Mus musculus: one gene and its partners. The protein of the gene in region 1 interacts with the protein of each later gene in a pairwise test. Links are inferred from orthologs where the notes say so. Each region holds a gene or a part of one and is shown in the gene's direction. Other genes may lie near its edges. The genes, in order: Disc1, Ppp4r1, Nup160, Kifap3, Sybu, Mllt10 and Dpysl3.

Region 1 (5,186 bases):
TGCCCTGGCCACCATGCTCACGAACCCATGGGGGTAACAACAGGGCAGCTGGAGAAAGAGGCTGGCTGCTATCCTCAGAACATGCCATCCTCTCTGAGGTCACCTCCTGGTGAGCGCTCCCAGGAGATGAAACTATCTTCACTTTTATGTGTGTGCATCTGTGAGCACGCATGTGTACAGGTGCTCATGAACAAAGTGGCAACTGAGGTTTTTTTTTAATCTGATTCTGATAATTTTGTAAGTTTTAAAACATTCATTTTCATTTTGTGTATGTGTCTGTCTGTCTGTCTGTCTGTCTGTCTGCGTGATGGTGACAGGGATAGCTAGAAGAGGGTGCCTGATTAGTCCTCTGGAGCTGCAATTGCAGGTAGCAGTGAGCTACTCAGGATAGATGCTGTGAAACTGAACTCTGATCCTCTGCAAGAATGCTATGTGCTCTGAACTGTTGGGCCAGCTTTCCAGCCCCTGTTTTAAGACAGTTTATGTTATATATTCAGAGGTATGCCTAGTTATCCTCGGGAGTGAGTCAGGTAGACCTGAGAGTGTTTATGGCAGGCTGGCCAATTCAACTGTATTTACTACGGAGTGCCTCCTGAGGAGGAGAGGCGTTCCATTCGTTTTAGCTGACCACTTCAGATCGATCGCAGGCCATCACTGAGGGGAGTCAAGGCAGGAACCTAAGGCAGGCCTGCTTGCTATAGCACACAGCATTAACCTCCAATGGAGAGCTCACTTCACTGCCAATCAGGTATAGCAGGAACCACAGAGGACGCTGTTTGCCAGCTGGCTCGTAGATGGGCTTCAGCTCACTTAGCTTTCTTGGATAGTTCGAAACCTAGGTAATGGTGCCGCCCACAGTGGGCTGGGCCTTCGAAGGCCAGTTAACTGTCCAGACCTTTCTTACAGACGCGATACGGGCCAATCTGATCTAGGTAATCATGGACTAAAGCTCTCTGCTCACAGGACCCTAGGCTATGTCACACTGACAGGTAAAGCAAACTAGGATACCAACACAGTGCCTTTTTCAACCCTGTTACCCTACCCACTGCACTAAATCCTGACTCTGCTCATGTCTTTATCAACTTCAGCCGCATCCGCCCGTGCTTACCCGAAGGTTCCTGGTAAGAGGCAACTGCTCTGGCCCACCTTTCCAGCACCTGGTCTTTTTTCTAGGGCCACAGGCTCCTCCCTTCCAGCACGCACTCTCCCAGGCTTCTTCCCACTGCCCCATGCTCCACCCACAGTCAGGTCTCCGGCTGACTCCATGCAGTTCAGTTTTGTAGGTTTATTTTTGCCTCGGGGTCCAGAGGCGAGGTTATGACGGGCCTAACCCCTGACTGGCACTTCCTGTACCCACTGTCCTGTAGCAGGTGCTTTGCTGAAGCAGCCAAAGGGAAGGGATGGGGGAGGTGAGCCAGCTGCCAGGAGCTTGGCACAAGCCAAGGCTTGTGCCGTGCTCCTGGCCAGCCCCGTGCTGCCAGAGATTCGATTCTCAAGTCATTTTTAACAGCTGCTCCCACCCCCCCCGACCTGTCATCTGTCACTTTCCTTCGGCTTCACCGCGACTTGGTAGGAAGAAGTCCCTCTCTTGACCACCCCGCCTTTTACTCCCAGGGTCTGGGAAGCGCCCAGTCTTTCGGTCCCTGGCCACACTGCCCCATCACACTTCCCCTCCTTGGTTTCCTCCAAGTGAAAAGCAAAACTTTCTGCGCTGCGGTCTGGGAGCCGCGAGGGGCGGCGCGCGCGCGCTAGCGAGGGGCCGAGGCTGGAGAGGAAGCGGCGGTCCTGGGCAGGAGGAAGAAGCCAGCCCTCGGCTCGGCCCCCTGCCCGTTTCCCGCCGCCTCCGCGGCCGCCGCTACCACCATCACCACCACAGTCACCGCCGTCCGGGGCGCAGCCGGCCGCACGATGCAGGGCGGGGGTCCCCGGGGCGCTCCGATCCACAGTCCGAGCCACGGCGCAGGTAGGGCCCGGGGTTCTGGAGGAGGGCGAACGAGGCCTGCCGAGATCCGGGCGCACCCTGATGCAGGGGAGGGAAATCGAGGCAGTGAGCGGGGAGTGCAGGGTGCGGGCGGTCGTGTCCCCAGCTCCCACTGCAGCTCCCGTCCAAGCGCGTCCCCGTCCCGAGAGTCCGGCCGCCCTGAGGCGCAGTCGGCGAAGGGCGCGCCCGCACTCCTTCCTTGCGAGGTCCCGGTGGCCGCGAAGGTTTCCGCAGCGCCCAAGTGCAGCTCGATCCCAGGACTCCCTCGGGTGGCCGGCGCAGACGCTGCGGGGACGCGGGGCGAGGTTGAGAGAGGTGTGGGAACTGCAGCCCGCACCTCCCGTGGGGCTGCTCGCCGCCCACTTCCGAGTGTGGACTGTGACGCGCAGGGCAGCGCAGGCTGAGGGGACCCGCTCCATTTCCTCTGTCAGCTTGGGCCACGTACCAACCCCGGTGATGACATCGAGTTAAGTGGGTGGCCGCTTTTCAACCTCAGCAACTCACTGTCAGAAACCCCAAGAAAAGAACGTGATGGCACACGCCTCTTTTCCTAGCACTCGAGAGACAGGAAGACTGTGGAGACTTTCTAATACAATCTGGGCTACAATAGTGAGACTCTATCTCAAAAACCAAAATCAAATCAGAACAATGAAAAATAAAACAAGCACGGAGATCTGCTCCAGACTGGGCTTTGCAGTTTGGGCGTGTGCTGTGCCAAGGAGAGAAGGCAAAGGACTTAGGAGCTTCTTTTGGCTCTTGGAGCCTCAGTTTACCCATCTGTGAAAGGAGCACTAATCACTAGCTTCCCTACCTCCTTAACTGGCTTCTATGAAGACATTTTTGCAATTGGGAGTTGGAAAATACAGGGTTGGTAGGTGGGTGTAGGGTAAGAGTCTTCTGCACCCGCATCCTGGACTCGGGAATGCCTTAGTTTTTCAATTTGTAAAATGGAGCTGATTTTCCTGCCTACGTGGTAGATTTTAAAAGGGGTTTAATGTGGTAGGAGGACATGAAACCCCTGGCCAAATCTCTGCGATACAAAGCAAATTCTCAAAAATCTCTTAGTTGCCCAGGCTAGCCTTAAATCTGCTGCCTAGCCCAGGCTGGCCTCCAATTTGCTAGCCTTTGCCTCCCAAGTGCTGGGATTACAGGTGTGCTCCACTACGCACGGGTCCTTAAGTATTATTTTGACCATGCAAGACCTAAATAATCGTGGGCAATACAGGAATGCCAGTGTGACATGTTAGTGTCTGAGTTACAGGGTATTTGAAAAGACATTTGGCACCTGACATGGAGACCGTTGAGGTTTAGCCAGGATTCTGCCCACAGCAAATAGAGCCCTGGATGAGAAACCTGCTTTCTGAGCTGTCTCTCCAAGTCTCGGGCTTTCTCTTCTGTTTATAAGAAAGAGAAAGCACCTGGGCTGTAATTATTACCTTAGCCCTGAGAGTGCTGCCCTGGGATGGAGAGCAGAACATCTGGAACTGGGGCAGGTGACAGCCTACAGGCGACAGGTGCCACTTTGCAGAGAGTGCATGGGCCAGGCACTTGGTCCTGCCCTTTGATGAGGTCCCCCTCACACCGGTGAGGGGCTGGTGCTACCATCCTCATCTTCCCTTGGATGTGGCAAGGGTTGGAGTCACCTGCCTGTGGCCCTGGTGGTTAAACAGGGACTGGGGCTCAAAGTCAGATGCAGGTGTCTCCAATTACAGGCTGAAGGGAAGGTGTCAGGTGGAGCCCAGGCTGAGCGTGGACCTTTGCCTGGTCAAAGGTAATACCTGGTCTTCTGTTTCTGCCGTTTATACCTATCTTCATCTATCTATCTATCTATCTATCTATCTATCTATCTATCTATCTATCTATCTATCTATCTATCATCTATCTATCTATCTATCTATCTATCTTCTATCTATCAATCATCTATCTGTATATCTTCTGTCTCTATCATCTATCTTCAGCATCTATCAATCATCTATTACCTATCTATCATTTATCCATCAATCTGTCTGTCTATCTTCTATCAATTATCTACCTACCTATCTATCAATCATCTATCTATCTATCTATCTATGTATCTGTCTATGTATCTATCTATCTATCTATCATCTATCTATCTATCTATCATCTATCTATCATCTATCTATCATCTATCTATCTATCTATCTATCTATCATCTATCTATCTATCATCTACCTACCTATCTATCAATCATCTATCTGTATATCTTCTGTCTCTATCACCTATCTTCAGCATCTATCTATCAATCATTTATTACCTATCTATCATTTATCTATCAATCTGTCTATCTATCTTCTATCAATTATCTACCTACCTATCTATCAATCTATCAATCATCTATCTATCTATTTATCTATCTATCATCTATCCATCAACCTATCTGTCTGTCTATCTATCATCTATCAATTATCTACCTACCTACCTATCTATCAATCATCTATCTATCTATCTATCTATCATCTATCTATCTATCTATCTATCTTCTATCTATCAATCATCTATCTGTATATCTTCTGTCTCTATCATCTATCTTCAGCATCTATCAATCATCTATTACCTATCTATCATTTATCCATCAATCTGTCTGTCTATCTTCTATCAATTATCTACCTACCTATCTATCAATCATCTATCTATCTATCTATCTATGTATCTATCTATGTATCTATCTATCTATCATCTATCTATCTATCTATCTATCATCTATCTATCATCTATCTATCTATTTATCATCTATCTATCTATCATCTACCTACCTATCTATCTATCTATCTATCAATCATCTATCTGTATATCTTCTGTCTCTATCACCTATCTTCAGCATCTATCTATCAATCATTTATTACCTATCTATCATTTATCTATCAATCTGTCTATCTATCTTCTATCAATTATCTACCTACCTATCTATCAATCTATCAATCATCTATCTATCTATTTATCTATCTATCATCTATCCATCAACCTGTCTGTCTATCTATCATCTATCAATTATCTACCTACCTACCTATCTATCAATCATCTATCTATCTATCTATCTATCTATCTATCTCCAGCCATCTGCTTACCTACCTACCTGCAAGCAGCACTAGGGATCAAACCTAGGGCTCTGTGCAGTGCTAGGCAAGCACTTTAGCACTCAGTCAAACCTCTAGCTGGCATTTTTCATAATTGCAGACCTTAAAAA
Region 2 (4,871 bases), on another chromosome or scaffold:
GGAGAGATGTTGGGGAAACGGTGGCTAACTCATTTCCCTGAGCAGATGCGATTACTTGTGCTTAAGAGGATCTGATGACTGAGTGTAGTGAGAATTTGGTTTTGTTGAAAAACACAGAAAATTTTTATGGGAATTTGTTTTTGTTCTAATCCCAGGTGTGAGATATGGGGCTGCTTCATATTGTCCACAGAAGCTGACAGTGAGTTGCCTCATGCTCTAGCAGGGGTGTGAATTTGCCAGCTACAAATAGTTTCTGCCATTTGGGATTCCGGAGACTTTCCAGAGGGTATGTAAATACTAGGGCGGGAGAGATTGGTTGCTGTTTGTTAAGTAGTTGTGAGTAAAGAAACAGGAAGAAGAAATTAGATATACCTGACTACGAAGATCAAGCTTGCTCCAAGAAGCTCATCAACCCTCATCAGCAGGAAGTAGTCCAATATATAATGATGGCCCCTTCCACCCCTACCCTTTTTTAGTATTAGGGAGTTGAAAGGGTGAAAGAAGAGGGGTGGAAGAAAGAACACACAAAGTAGCCAAAGACCACCTACAACTTGTTCTGATTCCCCGTGTTTTAAAATGCCAATATGTTGCCTTGAATTAGGACTATGGTGCAGAAAGGAACAAGCTGAACCTTTAAAATCCTCCTTTTTTCATATCAGACTCAAAAACGGGCATCATGTATGAGACTCATTTTACGGGCGACCATTCTGGAGACCTCACTGATGTTGGATTTAGACCTAAGACTCACAGAAATGGGACGGCGAACTGGAGTCAGAAAAATCTGGATTTTGCCCTACTTTGCCTGGGGAACCTACAAGAACCGTTTAACTCTCTTCAAACAAAGGGACCAGTAAGATGTGTGATAGTTCACTCGAGAAAAGCGCTGCCAATCCCAGGCACCCGGCGACCGGACTCCCGAGGTAGCAAGCACGGTGCTGGATTCCTGACAGTCTGCCATTCCCCGGAGAGGCGGAGGGGGCAGGTATCCTCGGCGATCCTCCCTGCGGTCACAAGGCTAAGAACCGCGGAGTGACTGGACTCGGCCTGGCCCGCGCGCCCGGGCCGCTCAGGGTCAGCTCGGGCGGGCGCCAGGGGAGCGCGCGGGCTCGGAAGCCGGTGCCGGGGCTTTAACGTGCCGCGCCGCACGGGAAGGCAGGCCGGCTGGGCCGGCGGAACTTTTGTCATTCAAACCGTCGTCCGGCCCGGGGCCTGGGCTTTGTTCAGTCACTCGCGAGGCCTGGGCGCGCGGGCGGAGGCGGCGCTTCCTCCACTCGGAGGCGGGAGGCTCGGCCGCGGACCGCCGGCGACGCACGAGCAGGTCTGGGAGGGGCGCGGGCGACGAGCGGCGCGCGGCGGAGCGGGCGGCGGCCAGCGGTGGGCGAGGCCGGTGACCCAACAGAGCTGCGGGCCGCGGGGACCCCGCCCGCCCGGCTCGGGCACACGCCGCAGGTCCCCCGGCGGGCAGCTCGTGCCGCGCTCCGCACGCTCGGCGCCAGGGCGCCTCTAGCCACGGGTGGGAGCGCGCCTCGGGGCCGGGCCGGCCGGGCGCGGGAGGCGGGCGGCGGGCAGCGGGCGGCGGGCGGCGCGCGGGCGGGCGGGCGTACGGGAGCCGCCGCCGCAGGCCCGGGCCTCGGCCCGCCCCGCGCGCGCCCCCGCCGGCCCGCGCGCGCCCACCGGCTCTCTACTTGAGCGGCTCGCGGAGCGGGATCCCGGGAGACGAGGAGGCGGGGGCGAGCACAAGATGGCGGGTACGTGGCCCCAGTTCCCCGGGCGGCGGCGGCGGCGACGGCGGCGGCTCCCCGCGCTCGGCAGTGCCCGGGAGAGGCCGGCGCGGGGAGGCGCCGCCGGGCGGGCGGCGGGCGGCTGGGGCGCGGCGCCGGCCCGGGACGCTGACCCGGCCTTTCTTCTCTCCCCCGGCGCAGACCTCTCCCTGCTCCAGGAGGACCTGCCGGAGGACGCGGACGGACGTGAGTGGCGGGTGGCCTGGCAGCCCCGGAGGGCGGCGGGCGAGCGGGCGGACTCGGGACCCCGCCGCGCTGGGGAGCACCCGCGTGGTCGGACCTCGGCCGCCGCCCGCAGGCTCGGGCCGCGGGGCGGCTGTTGGGGAAGCAGAAGCCCGTGGGGCGGAGGCCGGAGAGGGGACATGGGTGTGTTTTTCCTGAGTGTCTTCCGCACCCTCGCCCCGATGAAGGAGGCGGCGGGTGCCGGGAGGTGTTTCCGCAAGGCTCGGGGGGCTGTGCGGCGTGCGGTGCTCGGCCCGCCCTCGGGGGTTCCCTCGCCCTAGTGTGTGCTGGTTACATACCTGTGTTGTACTTGACCTCTGAGCCGTTTCGGGTCCCCACCACCACCACTCACTCACACATTTGATTTCCGATTTTCGGGGAGGTTAGTAGGTGTGACCTTGGCAGGATGCAGTGACTAGGTTCAGAGAGCAGCTTTTTAAAATTGGGAGTGTTCAAAGCTCATTCTGGTACTTAAATGCTAAAATTGCAGGTTTCCGTTGAGATATTAAAGTTTTTAAAGAGTTGACTCTTTTTGTACATTAAAAAACAAAAAACAAAACCCAGTCAGCTTGTGGACATTGTTTCCATGTGGTGAAGGAAATGAGTTATTTAGAAAGATATCTTTCATTTTGAGTGTGTTTTGTGTTTTTCTAAGCTTCAGAAAATAATGGTGGTTGGAGACAGAAAAGACTATGACTTAGCTAACTTTATATGGGAAGAAGTTGTGAATTACACTTAAGTAGAAATGCTTTCTACTCGTGTTAATGTTTGCAGATAGAGTGACTGGTGGAAAATGCATTTTAGGAATAAAGTGTGCACAAAATGTTATTAAGTGTAGTTCATGGGAGATCTGAAACCAAGAAATATGCAGAGTTGAGCTGGTTGCTGTGATACAAGAGCTGTCTGGTGAGGGGAGAGAGCCTGCCTGGACTGGGGAGTGTGATTTCATACCTGTTCCGGTAATCCAGAGATGCCTTCGCGAAAATTGCTCTTACAAATGCTATGCAGATAGTCAGTAGCATTGTCTGATAGGATTTTCTTTACTCCACTTAAATTCCTGTTCTGAGCAATGGGAGGTGTTGCCTTGAGAAAGTGCCTTAGTCAGCACTTCTGTTGATATGATGTAACAACATGGCCAAAGGCAACTTGAGAAGAGGTTTGTGGCTCGTATTCTTCCTTATTGCAGTTCATCATCTTCATCATGAGGGCCGGAATCTGGAACTGGAAGCTGATGCAGAGGCCATGGAGGGCGCTGCTTAGTTGTTTGTTCCTCCTGGCTCACTCAGCCTGCTCTCTCAAAAGCACCCAGGATCCAGAGATGGCACTACCAACAACAGGCTAGGTCCTCCCAACAAGGGTCCCTAAGAAAATGCCCCCCCCCCCGGATTGCCTAGGGCAAGATAAAGAGGTTTCCTCCTCAGGTGACTCGACCCTTGTTAACTTGATATAACACAAACCAGCACAGAAGGCTTCTCTAAAGAGTATTTTTAAAGCAAGCAGTCCTAGCAGACCTACCTGTTGCTAAATCTGCTCGGGGACGGACACGGGTGCTCTCCTTAAGTCGTTGTCTTTAGGGAGCAGTAGCACGGTAAAGCACAGCTTCTGCATATAGCTTTTTCTCCCTTAGCTCACTTCAATTGGCTTAGTATGTATAATCAAAGCACCTATTGATTTTAGATCTCTCCCAAGGTTAGGATTGGAGATGTTGCCCAGATGGTAATTTTGAGGCCGGAGCCTCTTGTTCTTATAAAGTGTACGTCTTTGTGTCTGGCTGTGCCTCGGACTGGTCTCAGTCTGTCTGGGGGGAATCAGGATCTTGGTACTCAGGTGGGCAAGGAGTTGGAGAAAAATGACAGACACTGACACAGAGAGAGTGCTGTATCTGAATGTAATTTCTCAAAGCGAGCATCAGACTTATATTACAGAAGAAAAAAAAGAAGTTAGGTGACACATGAGCCAAGGTACATTGAAGTTATCTGACACAAAACAGAGAAATGCATACATAAAGATTGACAGGAACCAGGCAGTGTTTACAACTGAGTTAAAAGGCAGGCCTTTCTAAAGTCAGCCCTTAAGGAGCCAGGTGAGGATTTCACACCCTAGTCACAGTTTATGCTATTCCTCTGAGCCTTGTGAGAGCTTGTGCCAGGGGGTTCTGCTCTTGCTGGCCTTTTCATGAATAATGCAATACTGTAGTTCCTCCTTAAACCACAACCCTCCTCCTCCCTAGGCCATTGTAAATACCTATGCATATGGGAGTGACTTGGCTGCTCTTGTGTCTGTAGGGAATCTCCATTTGTCAGAGGAGTTCACCAACTATCTTCTAATATGTTATGTACTCTGCTACACCTGGCTGTAATGAGGATTTTAAGTTAACTATTTTGAACTAGCCCTGAGATTTTTTTAGCTGTTATCCAGTAAAATACTGCAAGAAAGCATGCAAGACGCTCCACACTATCACAGGGACAAATCTGGTTATGGGACACCAGAGACTCTTCCAGGAGACCAGTTTCCATGAACCTTTTTGCCTCAGGAATGCGGCCAAGCTTTTGGACTTGAAACGCAGACTTCACTGGAGTGGGTGTGGCGTGGCTGTAGAAGAAACATCTGAATATTTGTTCCTTTGAGTCAGGGACCGTGCACCCCGGAAGAAGGTGTAGTGCAGTCTCTGCTTGGCTGTTGGGGAACACAGTCTGGAAGGAAGTATTTCACAGTAAGCTGGGGTAGGCTGGGTCCGAAGGAGAACGGGTCACCTCTTGAGCCCTCTAGTGGTTTATAGGCAGCTCTCAAGAGTGCTGTCAGGAAAGGTGTCAGCTGCCTGTTGCAGTCTTGGTAATGGGCACTTTGGATCCACTAGGATAGTTCACT
Region 3 (4,386 bases), on another chromosome or scaffold:
CATATACATACATGCAGACAAGTATTCATATACAAAGGAAAACGTTTAATTGATTTCTACATGAATGTATTGCTTGGTCAGTTTTGGGGACCAAGACCAGTGATATAAGCCAATTCCTCTTTTCTTTCAACTCCTAAAACTGAGGAATTAAATAAATAGGAGAAAAGTAAATCTTATTGGATTTATTTTTAAAATGTTTTTAGTAGCTCATCTAGTTTCTAGTTACCATTTAGTTATATTATCAATTCAGTTGTTAGCTGGAAAGATGACTCAGCAGCTAAGAGCATGCGCACCTTTTATGAAGGACTCTAATTTGATTCCCTGGTACATGGTGGGAAAGAGAGTCAACTCCCGAAAGTGTTATGTAATTTCTAGATGGATACTATGCCAAATGAGCCTACACACACAAGATGCATAGATAGATAGGGGATAGATAAAAAATAAGCTTTGATATGTTTGCTAACACCTATGATCACAGCACTCTGGAGAGTCTTTTTTTTTTTTTTGTTTTTTCGAGACAGGGTTTCTCTGTATAGCGCTGGCTGTCCTGGAACTCACTATGTAGACCAGACCAGGCTAGCCTCAAACTCAGAAATCCGCCTGCCCCTGCCTCCCGAGTGCTGGGATTAAAGGTGTGCACCATCACTGCCCGGCAAAATAACTTTTTTTTTTTTTGGTTTTTTTTTTTTTTTTTTTTGGTTTTTTGAGACAGGGTCTTTCTGTACAGCGATGGCTGTCCTGGAACTCACTTTGTAGACCAGGCTAGCCTCGAACTCAGAAATCCGCCTGCCTCTGCCTACTCTGGAGAGTCTTAAGAGCAGCCTTGTCTACCCAATTCATTAACTAATTAGTTCCTAATTAACTAGTAGAATAGGAATCTGAACTCCTTTGTCCTTTTTACTTTTTCCAAGTGCTACAGATGAAGCATGGAGGCTATTGTCAACTTACTTGGAAAGATACAAAGTCCAGAATAACTTGTATCATCATTGTGTGATTAACAAGTTGTTGTCTCATGGAGTTCCTCTGCCTAATTGGCTTATAAACAGTTACAAGGTACGTGGTATTGAGGTGGGGTAATAATTTGGGAAGTGTACTGGTTTACAAGTCATTTGTGGCAGTAGTTGGGAGGCAGAGACAAAAGGATCAAAAGAACTTCAAAGCCAGCCTAAGTGAGTTCAGGGCCAGCCTAGGCTAAATGAGATACTATCAAAAGAAGTGGAAGACAAAGGAGAATTCACTGGCTTAAATGCTTTGATTCTCAATCATCTCTAATAGGATGAAACAATTTATCTTAAATTCCACATATAGTACTGGGGACTTATCATTGTATAGTGAGCTCATAATTAGAATAATGAGTATATTTCATGCAACAATATCTACTATCATTGTTTAAAAACTTAACAATAGTAGGTAAAATGTTTCCCAGATAATACAAGAGTTTATCTTTGACTGGGAGGCTTATCTATTAGTCTGTTGTCTGTCCCCATGAAGAGGTACCTGGGCAGGTTAGCTTTTTAGAGAAAGAGGGTTACTTTGCTCACAGTTTTATAAGCGAAATGTTCAAGAACACTTGGCTCATTATTCTGACCTCCAGTAAGAGCTGTCTGTGCTGCTCTATCATAGTGTGTTGCAGTGTGGTGAGACTGTACACAGCAGAATATGGTCCAGGAAGCCAGAGGGCAATTCACCCTCCACTGTCATTCATACCTGCTCACTCTCCTGAGAATTAATCTCTTCACAGTGGACAGACCCTCCTTGACCTAAACATCCCCCCACTGGGTCCCACTTCTCAAAGGTTCCTTCCTCTCCCATTGCTACTACATTGGAGGGTCAAACTTCCAACATATGATTCACATGTGGGCTATATTGAATGGTAGCTTCTTTCTTTTGTTGTTTGTTTGTTTGTTTGTTTGTTTGTTTGTTTGTTTGTTTCGAGACAGGGTTTCTCTATATAGCTCTGGCTGTCCTGAAACTCACTCTGTAGACCAGGCTGGCCTCGAACTCAGAAATCCGCCTGCCTCTGCCTCCCAAGTACTGGGATTAAAGGCATGCGCCACCACGCCCGGCTCAGTAGCTTCTTTAAAATGTCAATTCCTCGGTCTTAAGTCAGATTATCTGGGGCCAGGAACCAGAATTCCACATTTTGACAACCTTCTGTTTTTGTTGTTTTGTTTGTTTAGGGGGGAGTTGTTCTGTTTGTTGAGACAGGGTGTCACTGTAGCCCTGACTAACCTAAAACTCACTGTGAACTAGGCTGGACTTGAATTTACTATGTAAACCAGGCTGGGTTTCAACTCAGAAATCCTCCAGCCTCCATCTCCAGGTATGGGGATTAAAAGTGTGCAACACTAAGCCAAATTGTTTTAATGCTTCATGAGCAGGTATGAATGACAATGGAGGCTGAATTGCCCTCTGGCTTCCTGTCTGATGATAAGACTATATTATGCTCTGTACACTCCCACCACACTGCAATAAGCTATGATATAGCAGCACAGCTTCATGAATTTATATGTTCTTTATCATTCCAGTTTTAGTATATATGCTGCTGTGGCAAGTGCTTCTGATTGGGTTAGATGTACGCTTGATTGAAAATGATATCTGAAGCACTTTCAGTGGGATAAGGAAAGAGAATATAAAAATTATTAGTAGTAAAATTGGTTAGGCATTTGTAATTACAGAATTTGGAAGGCTGAGGAGAGGATTACTGTGAGTTGAAGGCCAGCCTGGTCTATATATAGCAAAACCCTGTATCAAACAAACAAACAAAAACGGAAAAGTTCGGTTGGTAGAGTGCCTGGCATGTGGGAAGCACTGAGCTCAAGGATGTGGTCCACATGTAGTGTCAGCCTGTGCTACATGAAACTCTGCCATAAAAGAGGAGAAGAAAATAGAGAAAAGTAGCTAAAGTGGGAGAAGTAAAACTGATTACATCAGAGCAGAGGAGGCAGCTTCACTGTAATGAAGTACAGTGGACCCAGGCATGCTGGCCTGCGCCTTTAATCCCAGCTCTCGGGAGGCAGAGGCAGATGAATCGCTTGAGTTTGAGGCCAGCCTGGTCTACACAGAGTTCCAGGACCGCCAGGGCGACACAGAAAAACCTTCTCAAAAAAAAAAAAAAAAAAGTTACAGCATTCTCCTTGTCTTACTGCTGTTTTACTGCTATGAACAGAGACCATGACCAAGGCAACTCTGATAAGGACAACATTTAGTTGGGGCTGGCTTACAGGTTCAGAGGTTCAGCCATTATCATCATGGTGGAAGCATGGCAGCATCCAGGCCTGCAATGGTGTAGGAGGAGCTGAAAGTTCTACATCTTGGCAAACAGGAGAAGACTGACTTCCAAGCAGCTTGGATGAGGGTCTTAAAGCTCATACCCACAAGTGACACAACTACTTCAACAGAGCCACACCTCCGAATAGTGCCACTCCCTGAGCCAAGCATATTCAAACCATTACACTCCTTGAGCTGCATACAGATTTAAAGCTGGTGGTACCTTGCATTTCATTATTTCTGAGAGTTAATGCATACATCCTCCACTTCAGTGCTCAGCGTTCCTGAGAAAACATGTTGACATTACTAATGTACAATTGAAGTAGGAACAAGTTAAAACATGTCTCAGATCACAAAATAGAAAAGAAAAGCCACTTAACAGACAATATTACAGTGTGCCTGGAGGTAACTGGGCTCATGGGAATTTACAGATCTTACCCTGAGGTGCTCGCTCACACTAAGAACCTTTTTAAAATTGGTTGATTGGTCTGAGGCAGGACTGTGTAGCCCTGCCTGCCTAGATGTGTACTGTATAAGTTGAAATACAATTGTATTGGAAAAGTTAATAGGAAAACCTGATTAATTTGTTGCTGTATAGAAACAATCAGCATATGTTTTGGTAATACATTTAGGTTGTTTGTGGACTTAGTTTCTTGGATAATTTCTAAAACATTCTAGAATGCAGCACTGTTAGGTTCTGTTTCCAGTTGGGGTAGACATGCTTATAATTGTTGTCTTTACAGAAGGTTGATGCTGCCGAGTTGCTTCGTCTTTACCTGAACTATGACCTTTTAGAAGAAGCTGTGGATTTGGTCTCTGAATATGTAGATGCTGTATTAGGAAAAGGACATCAGTACTTTGGAATTGAGGTAAATGCGTATGAATCATGTGGCCCAGGAATTGAATTCAGTTACCAGGTGGCAAATGCCTTTGCTATCTCACCAGCCCCACCTAATTTCAGAATGGTGGCAAGGGGGTGGAGTTTAAAGTGTTTCATGTATAGAGTCCTGCAAAGACAACAACCTAGAAGAAATGGTGTCATTTTAATCAATAGACATTTTCTTTCAGTTTCCACTGTCAGCAACAGCCCCGATGGTATGGCTCCCATACTCTTCT
Region 4 (4,386 bases), on another chromosome or scaffold:
TTGTGTTTCATGTGTTTGCTCTGTAATTGTAGCTATTCTAAGGGCTGTAAAGTAGTGTCTTATTCTGTTTTGATTTGCATTTCCTAATTACGAAGTAAATTGAGCTCCTTTCATCCTCTTTGGTCATTTGTCTTTCTTTTTTAGGAAAAAGTGGTTACTGAAATATATATATATATATATATATACATATATATATGTATATATATATATGTATATATATATGTGTGTGTGTATATATATATATATATATATATGGCATTATTAAATATGCAATTTACAAACATTTGTCCCAGCCTTTGGTTGTCTTTTTACTGTCTTGAATATGTCAGTACTGTCAACAATTTTGATTTGTTGAAGTCTAATTTATTAATACTTACTGTGGCTTTTGAAACCGTATTTAAGAAACCATTGCTAAATTCAAGGTCATGAAGCTTTTCCTTATGTTTTATAGTTTAAAGTCTTAAATGCTGGTCTCTTCTCCACTGGAGTTAATTACTGTATATGGTGGTTAAGAATATCTAATCTTCTTAGCATCGTTTGTCAGAGATTGTTCTTGCTCTGTGTGGATACTTGGAGCATCCTTGTTGAAGATTAACTGGCTGTAAACATAGGTCATATCTTGCACTGTCAGTCCTAATCCACTATTAATATGACTATTCCTTGAGCTGATAATGTACTGCTTCAATTGGGAGTGTTTACATTGAGTGGGGCGAGTCCCACAACATTGCTGCTCTTTATCAAGATTATGTTTGTTGTTTAGGGTCTTTGTTTCCATGTAAATTTTAATGTTGTCTTTTCCTTCTCTAGGCTGTCAGGGGGTTCTGTTGACTCCCTGAGTCGTCTGGGGAAAATACTACTCTCTGAATAATGAGTGATCCAGTCCTTGAACATAGGATGGCTTTCATTTTTTTTAGTTTAGATGTAGAAACAGGGTGGAAGTTATGGATGTCCTGTGAGACTTTAATCTTTTTTTTTTTTTGTAGGAAAGTTAAAGGGGGGAATATTGATGTACATCCATCAGAAAAAGCTCTCATTGTTCAGTATGAAGTGGAAGCTACCATTCTTGGAGAAATGGGAGATCCCATGTTGGGAGAACGAAAGGAATGCCAAAAAATGTAAGTGTCCTTCAGTTTGTATACATTATGAAAATAGGAGCTTTTATATAACCTTCATACAAATGATATTATTTTAATCTTCATAGACAATAAATAGTTATAACATCCTTCTGGACCACTTCAACTTAGTCGAGGAAAGATTGCATTCAATGGTATAAATGTGGAATATATTCTAGAGAAAGTAAAACTTTTGTAATGTTAAGTGAAATTAATCACAAAAGATATGTTTATATGGGAGTTTTTGCTTAATTTAGAAATTCGGAGTCTTAGAAAATCCTCTATTCCTTCTCCCATAGAATTGCTGGGAGTGGTGCGATGTTCAGATGTTCCCAAATGGGGCACAGATCTTGAATTGGCTCCTGAAAGCCTCCTGGTCCTCTGAAGAATGCTAGTATGTGACAAGCTGTCTTTTAGACTGCACTTAGGTCCACATCCTGCTCACTTTCCCTTATTGACTTAAGAGAGTCCCTCGGGACCTGTTCTTTTTCATTATTCTGAAGTTTTGCTGGTAAACTTCCTACCTTCCTTCAATAACTTTATGCTAGTAGAGAAGATTTGATATGACTTAATGTTCTCTCTCAACCCTCTTCCCGCTGCATAGCATTGACTTGGTAACTAGTTAGAAAGAATTCCTACTTATACCATGTTGTGTTGAATCGAGGGTGCTCGGGCAGCTAGGAGCACATGTGAAAGTACTGCCTTAAGTAGATAGCATTGGATCTTGGTCCGGGACCCGCCGAACTTAGGAAATTAGTCTGAACAGGTGAGAGGGTGCGCCAGAGAACCTGACAGCCTCTGGAACAGGCGGAAGCACAGAGGGGCTGAGGCAGCACCCTGTGTGGGCCGGGGACAGCCGGCCACCTTCCGGACCGGAGGACAGGTGCCCGCCCGGCTGGGGAGGCGACCTAAGCCACAGCAGCAGCGGTCGCCATCTTGGTCCGGGACCTGCCGAACTTAGGAAATTAGTCTGAACAGGTGAGAGGGTGCGCCAGAGAACCTGACAGCCTCTGGAACAGGCGGAAGCACAGAGGGGCTGAGGCAGCACCCTGTGTGGGCCGGGGACAGCCGGCCACCTTCCGGACCGGAGGACAGGTGCCCGCCCGGCTGGGGAGGCGACCTAAGCCACAGCAGCAGCGGTCGCCATCTTGGTCCGGGACCCGCCGAACTTAGGAAATTAGTCTGAACAGGTGAGAGGGTGCGCCAGAGAACCTGACAGCTTCTGGAACAGGCGGAAGCACAGAGGCGCTGAGGCAGCACCCTGTGTGGGCCGGGGACAGCCGGCCACCTTCCGGACCAGAGGACAGGTGCCCGCCCGGCTGGGGAGGCGACCTAAGCCACAGCAGCAGCGGTCGCCATCTTGGTCCCGGGACTCCAAGGAACTTAGGAATTTAGTCTGCTTAGGTGAGAGTCTGTACCACCTGGGAACTGCCAAAGCAACACAGTGTCTGAGAAAGGTCCTGTTTTGGGCCTTCTTCTTCGGCCAGGAGGAGGTCCAAATACAAGATATCTGCGCACCTTCCCTGTAAGAGAGCTTGCCAGCAGAGAGTGCTCTGAGCACTGAAACTCAGAGGAGAGAATCTGTCTCCCAGGTCTGCTGATAGACGGTAACAGAATCACCAGAAGAACAATCTCTAAACAGAGTCAACTATAACTACTAACTCCAGAGATTACCAGATGGCGAAAGGTAAACGGAGGAATCTTACTAACAGGAACCAAGACCACTCACCATCACCAGAACCCAGCACACCCACTTCGCCCAGTCCAGGGAACCCCAACACACCTGAGAACCTAGACCTAGATTTAAAAGCATATCTCATGATGATGGTAGAGGACATCAAGAAGGACTTTAATAAATCACTTAAAGAAATACAGGAGAACACTGCTAAAGAGTTACAAGTCCTTAAAGAAAAACAGGAAAACACAATCAAACAGGTAGAAGTCCTTACAGAAAAAGAGGAAAAAACATACAAACAGGTGATGGAAATGAACAAAACCATACTAGACCTAAAAAGGGAAGTAGACACAATAAAGAAAACTCAAAGCGAGGCAACACTAGAGATAGAAACCCTAGGAAAGAAATCTGGAACCATAGATTTGAGCATCAGCAACAGAATACAAGAGATGGAAGAGAGAATCTCAGGTGCAGAAGATTCCATAGAGAACATCGGCACAACAATCAAAGAAAATGGAAAATGCAAAAAGATCCTAACTCAAAATATCCAGGAAATCCAGGACACAATAAGAAGACCAAACGTACGGATAATAGGAGTGGATGAGAATGAAGATTTTCAACTCAAAGGTCCAGCAAACATCTTCAACAAAATTATTGAAGAAAACTTCCCAAATCTAAAGAATGAGATGCATATGAACATACAAGAAGCCTACAGAACTCCAAATAGACTGGACCAGAAAAGAAATTCCTCCCGACACATAATAATCAGAACATCAAATGCACTAAATAAAGATAGAATACTAAAAGCAGTAAGGGAAAAAGGTCAAGTAACATATAAAGGCAAGCCTATCAGAATTACACCAGATTTTTCACCAGAGACTATGAAAGCCAGAAGAGCCTGGACAGATGTTATACAGACACTAAGAGAACACAAACTGCAGCCCAGGCTACTATACCCAGCCAAACTCTCAATTATCATAGAGGGAGAAACCAAAGTATTCCACGACAAAACCAAATTCACGCATTATCTCTCCACGAATCCAGCCCTTCAAAGGATAATAACAGAAAAAAACCAATACAAGAACGGGAACAACGCCCTAGAAAAAACAAGAAGGTAATCCCTCAACAAACCTAAAAGAAGACAGCCACAAGAACAGAATGCCACCTTTAACAACTAAAATAACAGGAAGCAACAATTACTTTTCCTTAATATCTCTTAACATCAATGGTCTCAACTCGCCAATAAAAAGACATAGACTAACAAACTGGCTACACAAACAAGACCCAACATTTTGCTGCTTACAGGAAACTCATCTCAGAGAAAAAGATAGACACTACCTCAGAATGAAAGGCTGGAAAACAATTTTCCAAGCAAATGGTATGAAGAAACAAGCAGGAGTAGCCATCCTAATATCTGATAAGATTGACTTCCAACCCAAAGTCATCAAAAAAGACAAGGAGGGACACTTCATTCTCATCAAAGGTAAAATCCTCCAAGAGGAACTCTCAATTCTGAATATCTATGCTCCAAATACAAGAGCAGCCACATTCACTAAAGAAACTTTAGTAAAGCTCAAAGCACACATTGCGCCTCACACA
Region 5 (3,045 bases), on another chromosome or scaffold:
CTGCTCTACAGTGAGTATTCAAAAAGCAAACAATGGCAGCTATTTTGATTCTGGTTCTGGTTACTATTATTAACTTAGCTGTTTTGCAGAGGGGGAAGTTCCCTGGCTAATACTTGCCAAAACACACACACACACACACACACACACACACACACTCCTGAAACTGAGACTTAGAAGAGCCTGTGCTGTGGCTGCTGTCGACTCTTAGCTATTTCAAAGTTGACGTTGCTTGTAACTGTGCCTACCTTCTCTATAGGGAATCTGAAATCATGGAGCTCAAGTCTCAGCTGGCTCGAATGAGGGAGGACTGGATTGAGGAAGAGTGCCACAGAGTGGAGGCTCAGTTGGCACTCAAAGAAGCCAGAAAAGAGATTAAACAGCTCAAACAGGTCATCGAGACTATGAGGAGCAGCTTGGCTGATAAAGATAAAGGCATTCAGAAGTACTTTGTGGACATAAACATCCAAAACAAGAAACTGGAGTCTCTGCTTCAAAGCATGGAGATGGCACACAATAGTTCCCTGAGGGATGAACTGTGTCTTGACTTTTCCTTTGATTCCCCAGAGAAAAGTTTACCCCTGAGCAGCACATTTGACAAGTTGCCAGATGGGTTATCTCTGGAAGAACAGATAACAGAGGAAGGTGCTGACAGTGAGCTTCTGGTGGGAGACAGCATGGCTGAAGGCACAGATCTGTTAGATGAGATGGTGACTGCCACCACCACAGAATCCAGTGGCCTGGAGTTTGTTCATTCCACTCCAGGGCCACAAGCCCTCAAGGCTCTCCCCTTGGTGAGCCACGAAGAGGGCATTGCGGTGATGGAGCAAGCCGTGCAGACCGACGTGGTGCCGTTCAGCCCTGCCATCTCAGAGCTCATTCAGAGTGTGCTAAAGCTGCAGGACTACTGTCCCACAAGCTCAGCATCTCCAGATGAATCTGGAGCTGACTCGATGGAAAGCTTCTCAGAATCTATCTCTGCCTTAATGCTTGATTTAACTCCAAGAAGTCCTAACTCGGCCATCCTTCTGTCTCCTGTGGAGATCCCATTCAGCAAGGGGGCTATGGAAGCCCATGCAAATCGCCTCATGAGAGAGCTAGATTTTGCAGCCTACACAGAAGAAAGATTGGACAGTGTCCTCTCACTGTCCCAGGGCAGTGTTGTGAGGCAGTACTGGAGCAGCAATTTCTTGGTGGATCTACTGGCTGTGGCTGCCCCTGTGGTACCCACTGTTCTGTGGGCATTCAGTACTCAGAGAGGGGGTACAGATCCTGTCTACAACATCGGAGCTTTGCTCCGAGGTTGCTGTGTGGTGGCCCTACACTCACTACGCCGCACCGCTTTCCACATGAAAACCTAATTAGTTGTTACTGTGTGCCAATGTATCTGTGTGGCCTGATGCCAGGTAGAGCAACAGCAGGTGATCAGTGGAAGTCTCTATTCTGTCAGTTTTGCTTCTCGCTATTTGATTTGCACTATAGTCAGTTGAAGCCTGTTCACTGTTTAAACCAGAGGTATTTTCCAAGGCATGGAAACCTGGTTCTGGTAGCTGTCCCACCAGAGTGGTGTAGAAAGCATGCTTATGCCCCTGCCGTGTTGTCTGAGGTGCCCGTTCTTATACTAATGGTTCAGGAAGAGAAAATGCCGTTTGCACTTTCACCACAGCCTTTCTAAGGCTGGCATGTTATCTCCTTGCTTTGCTTTGTGCCGTTTGAAAATGTGTAATTGTTCCAGCATTCCAATGCTCTTGTGCATAGCAGGGGACTGTAACCAAAAATAAAAATGTACTTGTGTAATTGGTTCAAAGACTTGAATAGCTCTTTATCGTCTTGAGGTTGATAAAGTTTGAGTGTTTAGATTTTTGTTTTTTAACTTAATGTAGCTCCAAAGTCTTATAAGACTCATTTGCTCTTAAACCTGTCAGTTAGTGATACTATGTAAATTTACAATGTACTAACTTATTTTTTGCTTATTATATATAGTGTTTTTTGGAAATTGTTTGTACCCACATACTTAAAGCATGAAAATAAAGGTTAGTGGTTCCATTTAAATGTTTGTCTCCTATAATTATGAATTTACTACTATATAAGTCAAATAAATAGATCATTCTTTATCAAAAAGATTCTATAAAAATGAAGCTAACCAGAAAACAAGAAAGAAAAAATAATTACTAAAACCAAAATGAAGGCCTGGAGCAATGCTCCGTGATTAAGAGCAGAAGTTAACTACTCTGGTGGAGAGCCTGAATTCTACCACCAGCACCCATGTGGCTCACAACACCTTCTGACCAAATACTGTGGCAGATACTCACAAAGACCCTCTGCCTTCCCTCCCCTCCCCTTTCTTCCCCTCTCTTTCCTTTCCTCCCCCTCCCTTCCCTTCCTCTCTCCCTCTGTCTCACACACACTTAAAAATAAAAATTCTTGAAAAAGGTAACTATGCCTGACCTTGAAGAGTATTATATAGAAAATAAGGGTAGCCCTGTTTATTTAAATAAGGCATGCAGCTGCTTGCACACACAATCAGCACGTTTGCACTCATTCCAGGAAAGGTGGGCGGCTTATTAAGCTTGCTAGACTCCCAGGAGAGGGAAATTCCAAGAGTAGCATCTATTCTCCATCCTCCTCCTCCTCTCTCAATGAAAGGATTGGGGCGGATGGAGGAGGGGATCTGCAGTAATTATTGATTCTTAGTAGCCTTGAGAAGTAGGTGTTCTACTTTATAAACAGGGAGCTAAAAAGCCACAGACAGCAAAACCGCTCAAGCTCTCTAAGTTCATTTTCAGAGCCAAGAGTTAATGTATGAGCGATGAAAATGCCTCTTCTACCTTACTGTAGAAATGGAGGTGATCTGGGAAGTAGCTTCTCCTCTCAAACCGCTTCCTCATTAGGGTTTAAATATGTGCTGACATTGTTTATCTGTGCCTTTAATATCTTATTGCCCATGGTTCCTGTTGACATGCTAGCTCTGTGAGCAGGGCAAGGATAGGTGTTCTGTCTTATGCATGGATGTCAAGAACTTAAAAGAACCTGCCACATAGATCTGAA
Region 6 (4,386 bases), on another chromosome or scaffold:
TGAAGCTTCATGGAAATTGGACAAGGAGAATATAAGGTGTAACTTAGGACATGAAGTCATATTTTTTTGATGAGTGGATAGATTTGGCTGAATAATCATGGATAAGGCCTGTTGTTATAACTTATAACCTGAGAAATGTCTTGCAGTTTTACTATAATTTGGAACATTTACAGTTGTATCTGCATGCTGGAAAAAGACAGTCCCCTGGAGAGGGAGGGGGCACACTGTGGTTTTGTCAGGCTCTGTTTGTTCAGTCTTTCCTGTATAATGCTTCTAATGGTTTGGAGGGAGTAGAGAAACTCTGGTAAGTGTTAACTCAGGAGTAGGCTACAATGTAAGAGCTATGTATGATACTACCTTTGACAAATTATTTAAAAGATAATTTTAGAGGTGAAGTTGATTTCAGTAGTAACTGATCTCATATTTGTTAGATGGTAATGACCTAAGTTTTGTAATTCACTTTAAGAAATTTGTCCTTTTTGATCATTGTAATTTGTCTATTGCTTAGAGGAACATTTTATCCAATTTATCTTCTTCCTCCACCTTTGTTTTTGTTTTTTTGTTTTGTTTTGTTTTTTTTGCTTGTGTATATTTTGCTACAGGCAGTTTTTCAGGAACTCCAGGCAGTGTAAAGTCATCTTCTGGAAGTTCAGTGCAGTCTCCCCAGGACTTCTTAAGCTTTACAGACTCAGATCTGCGAAGTGACAGTTACACTCACACCCAGCAGCCATCATCAACCAAAGATGTACATAAAGGAGAGTCTGGAAGCCAGGAAGCGGCAGTAAACAGTTTTAGCTCTTTAGTTGGTCACCCTGTGACCTCGACTGTTATTTCACAGCCTAAAAGCTTTGACAATTCACCTGGAGAGTTGGGTAGTTCGAGCCTCCCTACAGCAGGATATAAGCGGGCTCAGACTTCTGGTATAGAAGAAGAAGCTGTAAAGGAAAAGAAACGAAAAGGAAATAAGCAAAGCAAACATGGCCCCGGCCGACCCAAAGGAAACAAAAATCAAGAAAATGTTTCTCACCTCTCAGTTTCTTCTGCTTCACCAACATCGTCCGTAGCATCAGCTGCAGGAAGTGTAACAAGCTCTAGTCTTCAGAAATCTCCTACGCTGCTCAGGAATGGAAGTTTGCAGAGTCTTAGTGTTGGCTCGTCTCCAGTTGGCTCAGGTAAGGGTCTGTGCCATGTTTGCCCCTCAATCACTCCGCAGCCCTTTCTTTCACGACTCCAAAGAGTTGTGAACAGTTGTTCTGAGTGAGCTCTGAAGTGCCGCTACATTTAATTAAGATTGACATTTGTTCATTTTTATTTTTTTAAGTTTATTTTATTATTATTTGTTTTTAAAGGCAAGGGCTTATTAAGTAGCCCAAGCTGGCCAGGATCATTCTGTAACCAAGGCTGGCCTCAGAGTCTTGATCCTTCTGGATCAGCCTCCCAAGTGCTGGGATTGCAGTTGTCTGTTACCATGCTGGCCATTTTTAGGGAGGAGATCGCATATACTGTAGCACATGTATATACTATGTAGGCCTTGGATTATCAGGTGGCAACAGCCTTCACCCTCTTAGCGTTCTCATAGACCCTAGATTTTCCATTTCCTAGTGAGAAAGAAAGTACCCTACAATCCTAGAAAACTATTTGGTGGTGTAATTTTTAGCATCAATCTCATTTTACTTAGTTAACTTTATATAAACAGCTTTATTAGTCATCCATTACTTATCTCTCAGTTGTGTTTTTGTTCCCCCTGCATATTAGGTATAACACCAAACCAGGATCTGGGCGTGATGGCACACGCCTTTAATCCCAGCACTTGGGAGGCAGAGGCAGGTGGATTTCTGAGTTCGAGGCCAAGCCTGGTCTACAGAGTGAGTTCCAGGACAGCCAGGGCTACACAGAGAAACCCTGTCTCGAAAAAAACCAAAAAAACAAACAAAAAAACCAGGATTCATATTTTAAATGTGAACATGTCTGTATTCGTTTTTTTGGTATCTTTGTATTTAAAGTTATTTTGCTAAACTTAATTTTTCACTTTTTATTTTCTTGGTAATTGTACATAAGTAAAATGAATTTTTGGAGCCTTTTTTTCCATAAGTGATAAATTTAGGATTTTGTGTCAAGTTATATCTGAAATGATTTAAAATTTGTTTTCTTTTAACCATTATTATTATTTTTTTAATCTGAAATGAGAGTTGGCTTCATAGATTTGAAAGTGGTCCCAAGGCTTGCTTTTATTTTTAATTTTGAAATCTTGTACCAATTTTGCCTAGAACTGACTCTCTCCAGTACCTTGAGGTCTGAAATTGGCCGTGAATCAGTTGTCTGTGTATCTTGGTGCTGAGATTAGAGGTGTACTTCACCATACTCACTTTATCATCATTTTTATGACAGTATGAATGAGTATGTAGAATCTATGTCACTGGTATGTTTCTGTGTAATCTGTAATTTGTGTTACAAATCTTTTTAATTCTTAAAAAAACTAGGAAGTATGTATTTTATGTATGAGTACACTGTAGCTGTACAGATGGTTGTGAGCTATCATGTGGTTGCTGGGAATTAAACTCAGGACCTCTGCTCGCTCCAGCTCAAAGATTTATTTATTGTTATATGTAAGTACACTGTAGCTATCTTCAGACACACCAGAAGAGGGTGTCAGATCTCAGTACTTATGGTTGTGAGCCACCATGTGGTTGCTGAGGTTTGAACTCGGGACCATCGGAAGAGCTCTTAACCACTGAGCCATCTCTCCAGCCCCAGGAAGTATGTATTTTATTCTTCTTAAATATTTATGTTAATGTGTATGATTGCTTGCGTGCCTGTGTACCATGTTAGTGCCCAATGCCCTCAGAGTCCAAAAGTGTGCATAGGCTGGCCTGGAACTGGAGTTAGAGATGATTGTGAGCTGCTTTGGCTTCTGCAGGTTCTCACTAAGTAGCTCTGGTCAGCTTAGAACTTGCTATGTAGACCATGCCAGCTTCAGAACGAGGATATTTGATTGCCTCTGCCCTGTGAGTGCTGTGATTAAAGATGTGCACCACTACAGCACACCACAAGTTTTTCTTTTCATTTTTTTAAAATTTATTTTTTATTTTCATTTATGTGTATCTGTGTGATGCTACATAAATGTGTGTGGGTACTAATGGGTGTCAGAGACGGCAGTGGATCTCCTTGAGAAGAGGTTAACATCTCCATTTGATAAAGTTGTGTGTGTGTTGGGGGGTTGGTGGCGGGTGGCATTGAACCCAGGTCCTCTTGAAAAGCAACAAATGCACTTTACTACCACACCATCTCTCTACCACCAACCCTTAACAGTTTCAAGTTTCATTTGTCTGGTTTTATTTTTCTTGAATATGAGATAAACAGCTTTTAATAAATCTTGACTGTAAACTTCATCCCTTTTGTGTCCCTTTGGATTTCTGAAGGTTGAAATAAGATTCAGCTAAGATACATTATTATGGATAATATCAATTTTATTTATCCTGAGAGAAGGAAGAAATGATGTGTAAATAAAGATGTGAAAAATGTTCATTATAATTTCATATTGTATATTTTGCAAATACAAAATAAATCAAAACTTTGAATGATTTATTAGCTTCAGTAAGCAGAAATAACTGATCATTTCAAGAAAGAAGCATATGTGTGTGTGTATAAATATATATGTGTGTGTGTCTATATATATCTGCTATGTTAGGTTTCATTAAGTACATTGTTATTTTTATCTCCTTTTATAGTAGTTTTATAAAGGACTATTGATTTCCCCTTCCACAGGTGATAAAACTGAGGTTTGAGCGTAGCCCAAGGTCATACAACCTGGAGTTTTTTTGTTTGTTTCTAATAAATGACATCGATGCCTGTCATAGTTTGCACACAGCCCCCACTTTAGTGGGATCTACAGAGCAGTTATATTACATTGCTGCACTAACGTCCTTACTTAGTCTTGGTGATTTGGACATGTTGTGTTGGGTATTCTTTGTGTTCAGTACTTGTCTTTTATAGGATGTTTACCACAATCCCTAGCCCCTTCTCATTAGTTTCTAGTAGCACTCTCCCCATAATAAATATGTCTCCAGACATTGTTAAATGTCCCCAGGAGGCCCAAATTGCCTCTGGTTAGAACTGTTTCAGGAGGTGGGAAGAATAAATTACAGAGGGAACAAAGTTCATTAAAAAGATTTAAATATATTGCACATTTGAATAAATGTTTTTATTTATGTTTCCTTTGAGACCATAAGGGCCTAGCAATCAGCCTTAGCCTTTTGCCAGAAAAAGCAAATTTAAATAAATTTACTTACAAAAAATTGGGGTCATATAATTTTTTTTAGCAAAAATTATAATAACTCAGTGAGTACCTTGCTCAGAACACACAGCTAAATTTGTTTCTGTGATCTT
Region 7 (4,386 bases), on another chromosome or scaffold:
CCTCACAGTGTGTTTTGAATTGTGGTGGCCCTGGAATGGCCCCATGGTGATGTGGTGGAGCTGAACTCTTAGACATGTCAGGAACACATTAGCTGTGAACCTACAGTTTGCTGGTCAGCAGTGGGGTGGACTTTTTACTACCCCAAGAGAATTTGGGGGGCTATCTACAGAAGGGAAAATAGTGGGGCACATATGTGCCCAAGGTAGGAGATATTTAGTATTAGTATAAACTGTGAATCCTAGGTATACTATGAGGGCAGACCTGGCCAGATGTCTAAATCAAAGCTAAAAAATAAAATAAAATAAAAAGTTAGGCAATGTTGCAACCAGTGGCCTGCAAACAGCCTTGTGGGGAATAGTTATCACATTCTTGTGAGATGAACCTTTGAAACTCTCATTTATGTATTCAATGAGTTTATTCCCCCACTCTTTCCTGGGATGTTCTGAAGCCTTCGGGGTTACCATAATTACTTTTCTTTGTCTGGAGCCTCTATTGAAATACTGACCATACAAAAGCAGAGGGTGTGGGAGAGAGCTGCATGTTTGATGCTGTCCTTGTGCATCTGCAACAAGGCATTATTAGCTGATCAGGGAATGGTGGAGTAAGAAAAAGAAACTTGAGCAGGTGGTGATTCAAGCAGACGCCTTTGATTAGGGCACAGATGACTAAGTCCCCATGCCTGTTGTTGTACCAAGTTATTATCTTCTGTTGCACCTAACAGTCATTTATTTCTCGTTCCTTGTCATTTTCCCCAGTGTGATCCCACACCAATAGAGAGAAAAAACAAAGTGAATGAAATAATGGAAATAGTTATATAAAAATATGAGTCACGCACTGACTCTAGACATTGGCAATCTTTAGATTTCAGTACCAAACCATAACACAGTGCCATGCAGATGATGCTGGGGCAGTAGTTTTGGATACACAGCTATCTGTCTTTGCTTAGACATCCTACGCTCGTCTTGAGGATCGCTCCATTTAATTGTCCGTTGTTCCACTGTCTCGTCAGGCAAATTGGAGACAATCTGATTGTCCCCGGAGGTGTGAAGACCATCGAGGCCAACGGGAAGATGGTGATCCCTGGAGGCATTGACGTCCATACCCACTTCCAGATGCCTTACAAGGGAATGACCACAGTGGACGATTTCTTCCAAGGGACAAAGGCTGCCTTAGCGGGAGGCACCACCATGATCAGTACGTTCTCTCGTACTGCCCAGCCCTGTGGGTTTGAGAAAGGTGTCAAACACTGCCCTCTGAAAATACGGAAATTATACACACTTCTCTCAGTTTGGTTCATGGAAGCTATGTGACCCTGGGTGTGGGAAAAGCAGGAAAACTGCCAACTTCCTGTAGTTACACAAAGGACGTCCATGAACTTAATGTTACTGAAAACAACCAGAGAAAGATATGTCTGAAAGAATGATCATTGAGACTGACAGTTCTTGGGAGATTAGTGGGTCTCGGTGGATTTAGTGCTATTGGGTCTTTGCTATATTCTGACCAATTTGTATCTTTAAGATTAGGAAAGCTGTGAGCGGTTTCTTTTATTTTTCTTTTCTTTTGCTTCTGGTAATTACTAATTCCAGAGAAACTTGGGAAATTGCATGTTATTGGAGTACAGAACTGATAGTATTTCAGGCAGTCCTTCCTGTTCCAAGGAATCTCAATGAATTGGGTACTGGCCCAGAGTTAGCCTCAAACTCAGACACAGCACTATTTACTTAACAGCTTATTCTTCTACCCACAGGCACAGAGCAGCCTGAGCCAGAATTACAGTCTGTCTTGACCTTCCTTTTGACTGAACCACTAGCAGGGTTCAACTTTAGCAAGGCCATAAAAGGTGCAGTCCAGGGAGGCCTGAGCCTTTCCCCGCAACTGATAAAAGGAAGCCAGCTGACTTCTCAGCAGCTTTCTGCCCAGGAAAGCCCTGGTGTCCTTGAAGACAGTATTGATGTAGCTGGATGCATTATGCTTTCCCATCAGTGCACTCGGGCTCTGTTGACAGAGGAAATGCGTGGTTCTTGCTTTGGTTTGGCTGGCTGCCATCTGGGCCAGGAACTGGGCCTGTTCTGCATGCTTGTAAAGTCTTGTCTACTTGGTCTTTCTCCATGAGCAAAGGAGCAGAGAGCAGATGGGAGGTTTAGGCGAAGAATAAAGCTTACAAGGAGCCACAGATGCATTCTTGCCCTTTATTGATAACTTAGAAACTCTAGATGTGTGCAAGGCAAAGGATCCACGTAACCCTATTCACTGCTGGAGTTTCTTACTATGGCAGTTTCCAAGTTCACAGCAGGATCCTAGTATCTGTGCCATATTTAAAGCTGTGATTTTTTTTTTTCCACTAAGTGGTGGATCACGAATGTTGCTCCAGGCAGTCATTTGCTCACATTCTACCTCAGCTTTTAAAATGGGTGTCTCTCGTCACTCTGTGAAAAGTGTCTCTATGTTTTAAACTAAACTTCTCAATTTTTTTCAACCTCGGCCACTTTCGATTTTTCATTTTCGTAAATGCATCAGCGTACAGTCTAGATACTAAATGCTGCTGACAGCTACAACTTATCTTCCTAGGCATGAGGCTTAGGCATGAGAGTAAATTGAGTCTGGTCTGGAAAATGTCCAGAGTTTTGATATATATTTCGATGTCGTCCTCCCAAAAGCTGAACCAATTTCACACTTTAACTCAGCTACCCGTTGTGGCCCAGGTGAGGGTAGAGCTTTTGCTAAATCCCTACTATAACAACCACAATGATTATTTTTTTAAAATACAAATATAATTTTACTTAATATCATTTCTCTTAATTTAGGCATGGTGTGTTTTGTTTGTTTTGAGATATTAGGATCTTGCTACACAGGCTAGGCTGGTTTTGAGCTTTTAGTGAGCCACCCAGGTGTTGGGATCACTACCATGCCTCCATTACTGTTTTAACTTTTTTTCTTTTTTACTTATTCACTTTACACCCTGCTCACTGCCCCTCTTCCTGGTCACCCCCTCCCACAGTCCTTCCAATGGAGTGATAGAGACACCAACCCACTCACCAAACTCTAAACCCAAAATTTATCCTGTCTACAAGAAATGCAGGGACTGAGGATCGAGCAGAGACTGAGGGAAAGGCCAACCAACAATCAGCCCAACTTAAGACCCATCCCATGGGCAAGCACCAATCTCCAAGACTATTAATGATACTGTGGTATGCTTAAGACAGGAGACTAACATGACTGTCCTCTGAGAGGCTCCACCCAGCAGCTGATTCAAACAGATGCAGACATACCCACAATTATTTTAAAAATATGTATCATCCATGGTTGCAGAGAAAAGTGGGTTTGAATTCAGAGAAACTTATTCTTGTTAGCAAGTTCATGGGCTTTGGTTACTCATGCCTGCTATACATCTAGAACTTCTTCTTCTATCCAGGGAAGAGAACACAACTTTGGCCATTAATAGTGACTCAGAGCCAGTAGTCACAACATAAAAATAGCAGGTAGTCATGAGGAGTTAACACTTAATATGCGCCAGGTATCAGTGAAGCACCTTATATATGCATTTTGCACTTAGTCATATGGAAAACTCAGACGGAAAAATACAATCATAACGTGTTCCCCATCTACTCTACACCCATTTTTAAGAAAAGAAAACTGAGGTTTCAGAAAGCTACTAATTTGTTCCAAGTCCCCGAGTTAACCAAGCTGGAAGGAGCAGGAATAGAGACAGGGAGACCAAACTGTTTCCGAGTCACCCATTTTGCCCTCTGTCCTTCAGTTGACCACGTGGTACCTGAACCTGAGTCTAGCCTGACAGAGGCCTATGAAAAGTGGCGTGAGTGGGCCGATGGGAAGAGCTGCTGTGACTATGCTTTGCATGTGGACATCACCCACTGGAATGACAGCGTCAAGCAGGAGGTACAGAGCCTCAGCAAGGAAAAAGGTGAGTCAAAGCACGCGCTCCAGCCTCGTCTCTCTGCTGCCTTGTCTGCGTCTCCCACAACATCCCGCCCGCTCGTGGGAGTCACTCCTCGAGTTCCGAGTCTCGTCCCTTAAGCATGAGGGCTGTGTGAGGGACTTTTACTTTGTTCCAGGCACTTTCCTTTTTCTCTATGTAACTTTACTTTTTGTAGGATCTTCGTGGGATAAATATTGTTCGTCACTTTGAAGCTGAAAAAGCGGGGTATCGGGATAACTGCTTGAGGTGACATTTCGTAGGCAACAGATCTACACAAGGATGAGGCTTTTCACCTCCATGGATAGCTTAGGGTTTTATTGCTAGGATTAAACACTGTGACAAAAAAAGCAACTTAAGGAGGAAAGGGTTTATTTCACCTTACAGCTGCTAGCCCATCACTGAAGGGAATCATGAACTCAAGCAGAACAGGAACCTAGAGGTCATAATT

Evidence for each region.
Region 2: the proteins of Disc1 (region 1) and Ppp4r1 interact in a two-hybrid assay, tested with the Homo sapiens proteins (2 studies listed by BioGRID and IntAct). The link is inferred for Mus musculus from reciprocal best matches to the Homo sapiens genes DISC1 and PPP4R1.
Region 3: the proteins of Disc1 (region 1) and Nup160 interact in binary tests that used the Homo sapiens proteins (3 or more experiments, as listed by UniProt). The link is inferred for Mus musculus from reciprocal best matches to the Homo sapiens genes DISC1 and NUP160.
Region 4: the proteins of Disc1 (region 1) and Kifap3 interact in a two-hybrid assay, tested with the Homo sapiens proteins (2 studies listed by BioGRID and IntAct). The link is inferred for Mus musculus from reciprocal best matches to the Homo sapiens genes DISC1 and KIFAP3.
Region 5: the proteins of Disc1 (region 1) and Sybu interact in a two-hybrid assay, tested with the Homo sapiens proteins (2 studies listed by BioGRID and IntAct). The link is inferred for Mus musculus from reciprocal best matches to the Homo sapiens genes DISC1 and SYBU.
Region 6: the proteins of Disc1 (region 1) and Mllt10 interact in a two-hybrid assay, tested with the Homo sapiens proteins (2 studies listed by BioGRID and IntAct). The link is inferred for Mus musculus from reciprocal best matches to the Homo sapiens genes DISC1 and MLLT10.
Region 7: the proteins of Disc1 (region 1) and Dpysl3 interact in a two-hybrid assay, tested with the Homo sapiens proteins (2 studies listed by BioGRID and IntAct). The link is inferred for Mus musculus from reciprocal best matches to the Homo sapiens genes DISC1 and DPYSL3.

The regions. Positions count from the first base shown.
Region 1 is NC_000074.6:125,052,322-125,057,507, forward strand, and holds the start of Disc1 (disrupted in schizophrenia 1 homolog), read left to right. Parts: upstream 1-1,873; 5' UTR 1,874-1,908; coding exon 1,909-1,963; intron 1,964-5,186. UniProt on the Homo sapiens protein: Involved in the regulation of multiple aspects of embryonic and adult neurogenesis. Required for neural progenitor proliferation in the ventrical/subventrical zone during embryonic brain development and in the adult dentate gyrus of the hippocampus.
Region 2 is NC_000083.6:65,781,702-65,786,572, forward strand, and holds the start of Ppp4r1 (serine/threonine-protein phosphatase 4 regulatory subunit 1), read left to right. Parts: upstream 1-1,653; 5' UTR 1,654-1,741; coding exon 1,742-1,748; intron 1,749-1,922; coding exon 1,923-1,967; intron 1,968-4,871. UniProt on the Homo sapiens protein: Regulatory subunit of serine/threonine-protein phosphatase 4. May play a role in regulation of cell division in renal glomeruli. The PPP4C-PPP4R1 PP4 complex may play a role in dephosphorylation and regulation of HDAC3.
Region 3 is NC_000068.7:90,728,768-90,733,153, forward strand, and holds part of Nup160 (nuclear pore complex protein Nup160), read left to right. Parts: intron 1-911; coding exon 912-1,053; intron 1,054-3,493; exon of another isoform or gene 3,494-4,013; coding exon 4,014-4,139; intron 4,140-4,338; coding exon 4,339-4,386. UniProt on the Homo sapiens protein: Functions as a component of the nuclear pore complex (NPC). Involved in poly(A)+ RNA transport.
Region 4 is NC_000067.6:163,782,002-163,786,387, forward strand, and holds part of Kifap3 (kinesin-associated protein 3), read left to right. Parts: intron 1-983; coding exon 984-1,115; intron 1,116-4,386. UniProt on the Homo sapiens protein: Involved in tethering the chromosomes to the spindle pole and in chromosome movement. Binds to the tail domain of the KIF3A/KIF3B heterodimer to form a heterotrimeric KIF3 complex and may regulate the membrane binding of this complex.
Region 5 is NC_000081.6:44,670,860-44,673,904, reverse strand, and holds the end of Sybu (syntabulin), read left to right. Parts: intron 1-256; coding exon 257-1,358; 3' UTR 1,359-2,049; downstream 2,050-3,045. UniProt on the Homo sapiens protein: Part of a kinesin motor-adapter complex that is critical for the anterograde axonal transport of active zone components and contributes to activity-dependent presynaptic assembly during neuronal development.
Region 6 is NC_000068.7:18,161,715-18,166,100, forward strand, and holds part of Mllt10 (protein AF-10), read left to right. Parts: intron 1-602; coding exon 603-1,172; exon of another isoform or gene 1,173-3,389; intron 3,390-4,386. UniProt on the Homo sapiens protein: Probably involved in transcriptional regulation. In vitro or as fusion protein with KMT2A/MLL1 has transactivation activity. Binds to cruciform DNA.
Region 7 is NC_000084.6:43,357,771-43,362,156, reverse strand, and holds part of Dpysl3 (dihydropyrimidinase-related protein 3 CRMP4b), read left to right. Parts: intron 1-1,010; coding exon 1,011-1,195; intron 1,196-3,758; coding exon 3,759-3,923; intron 3,924-4,386.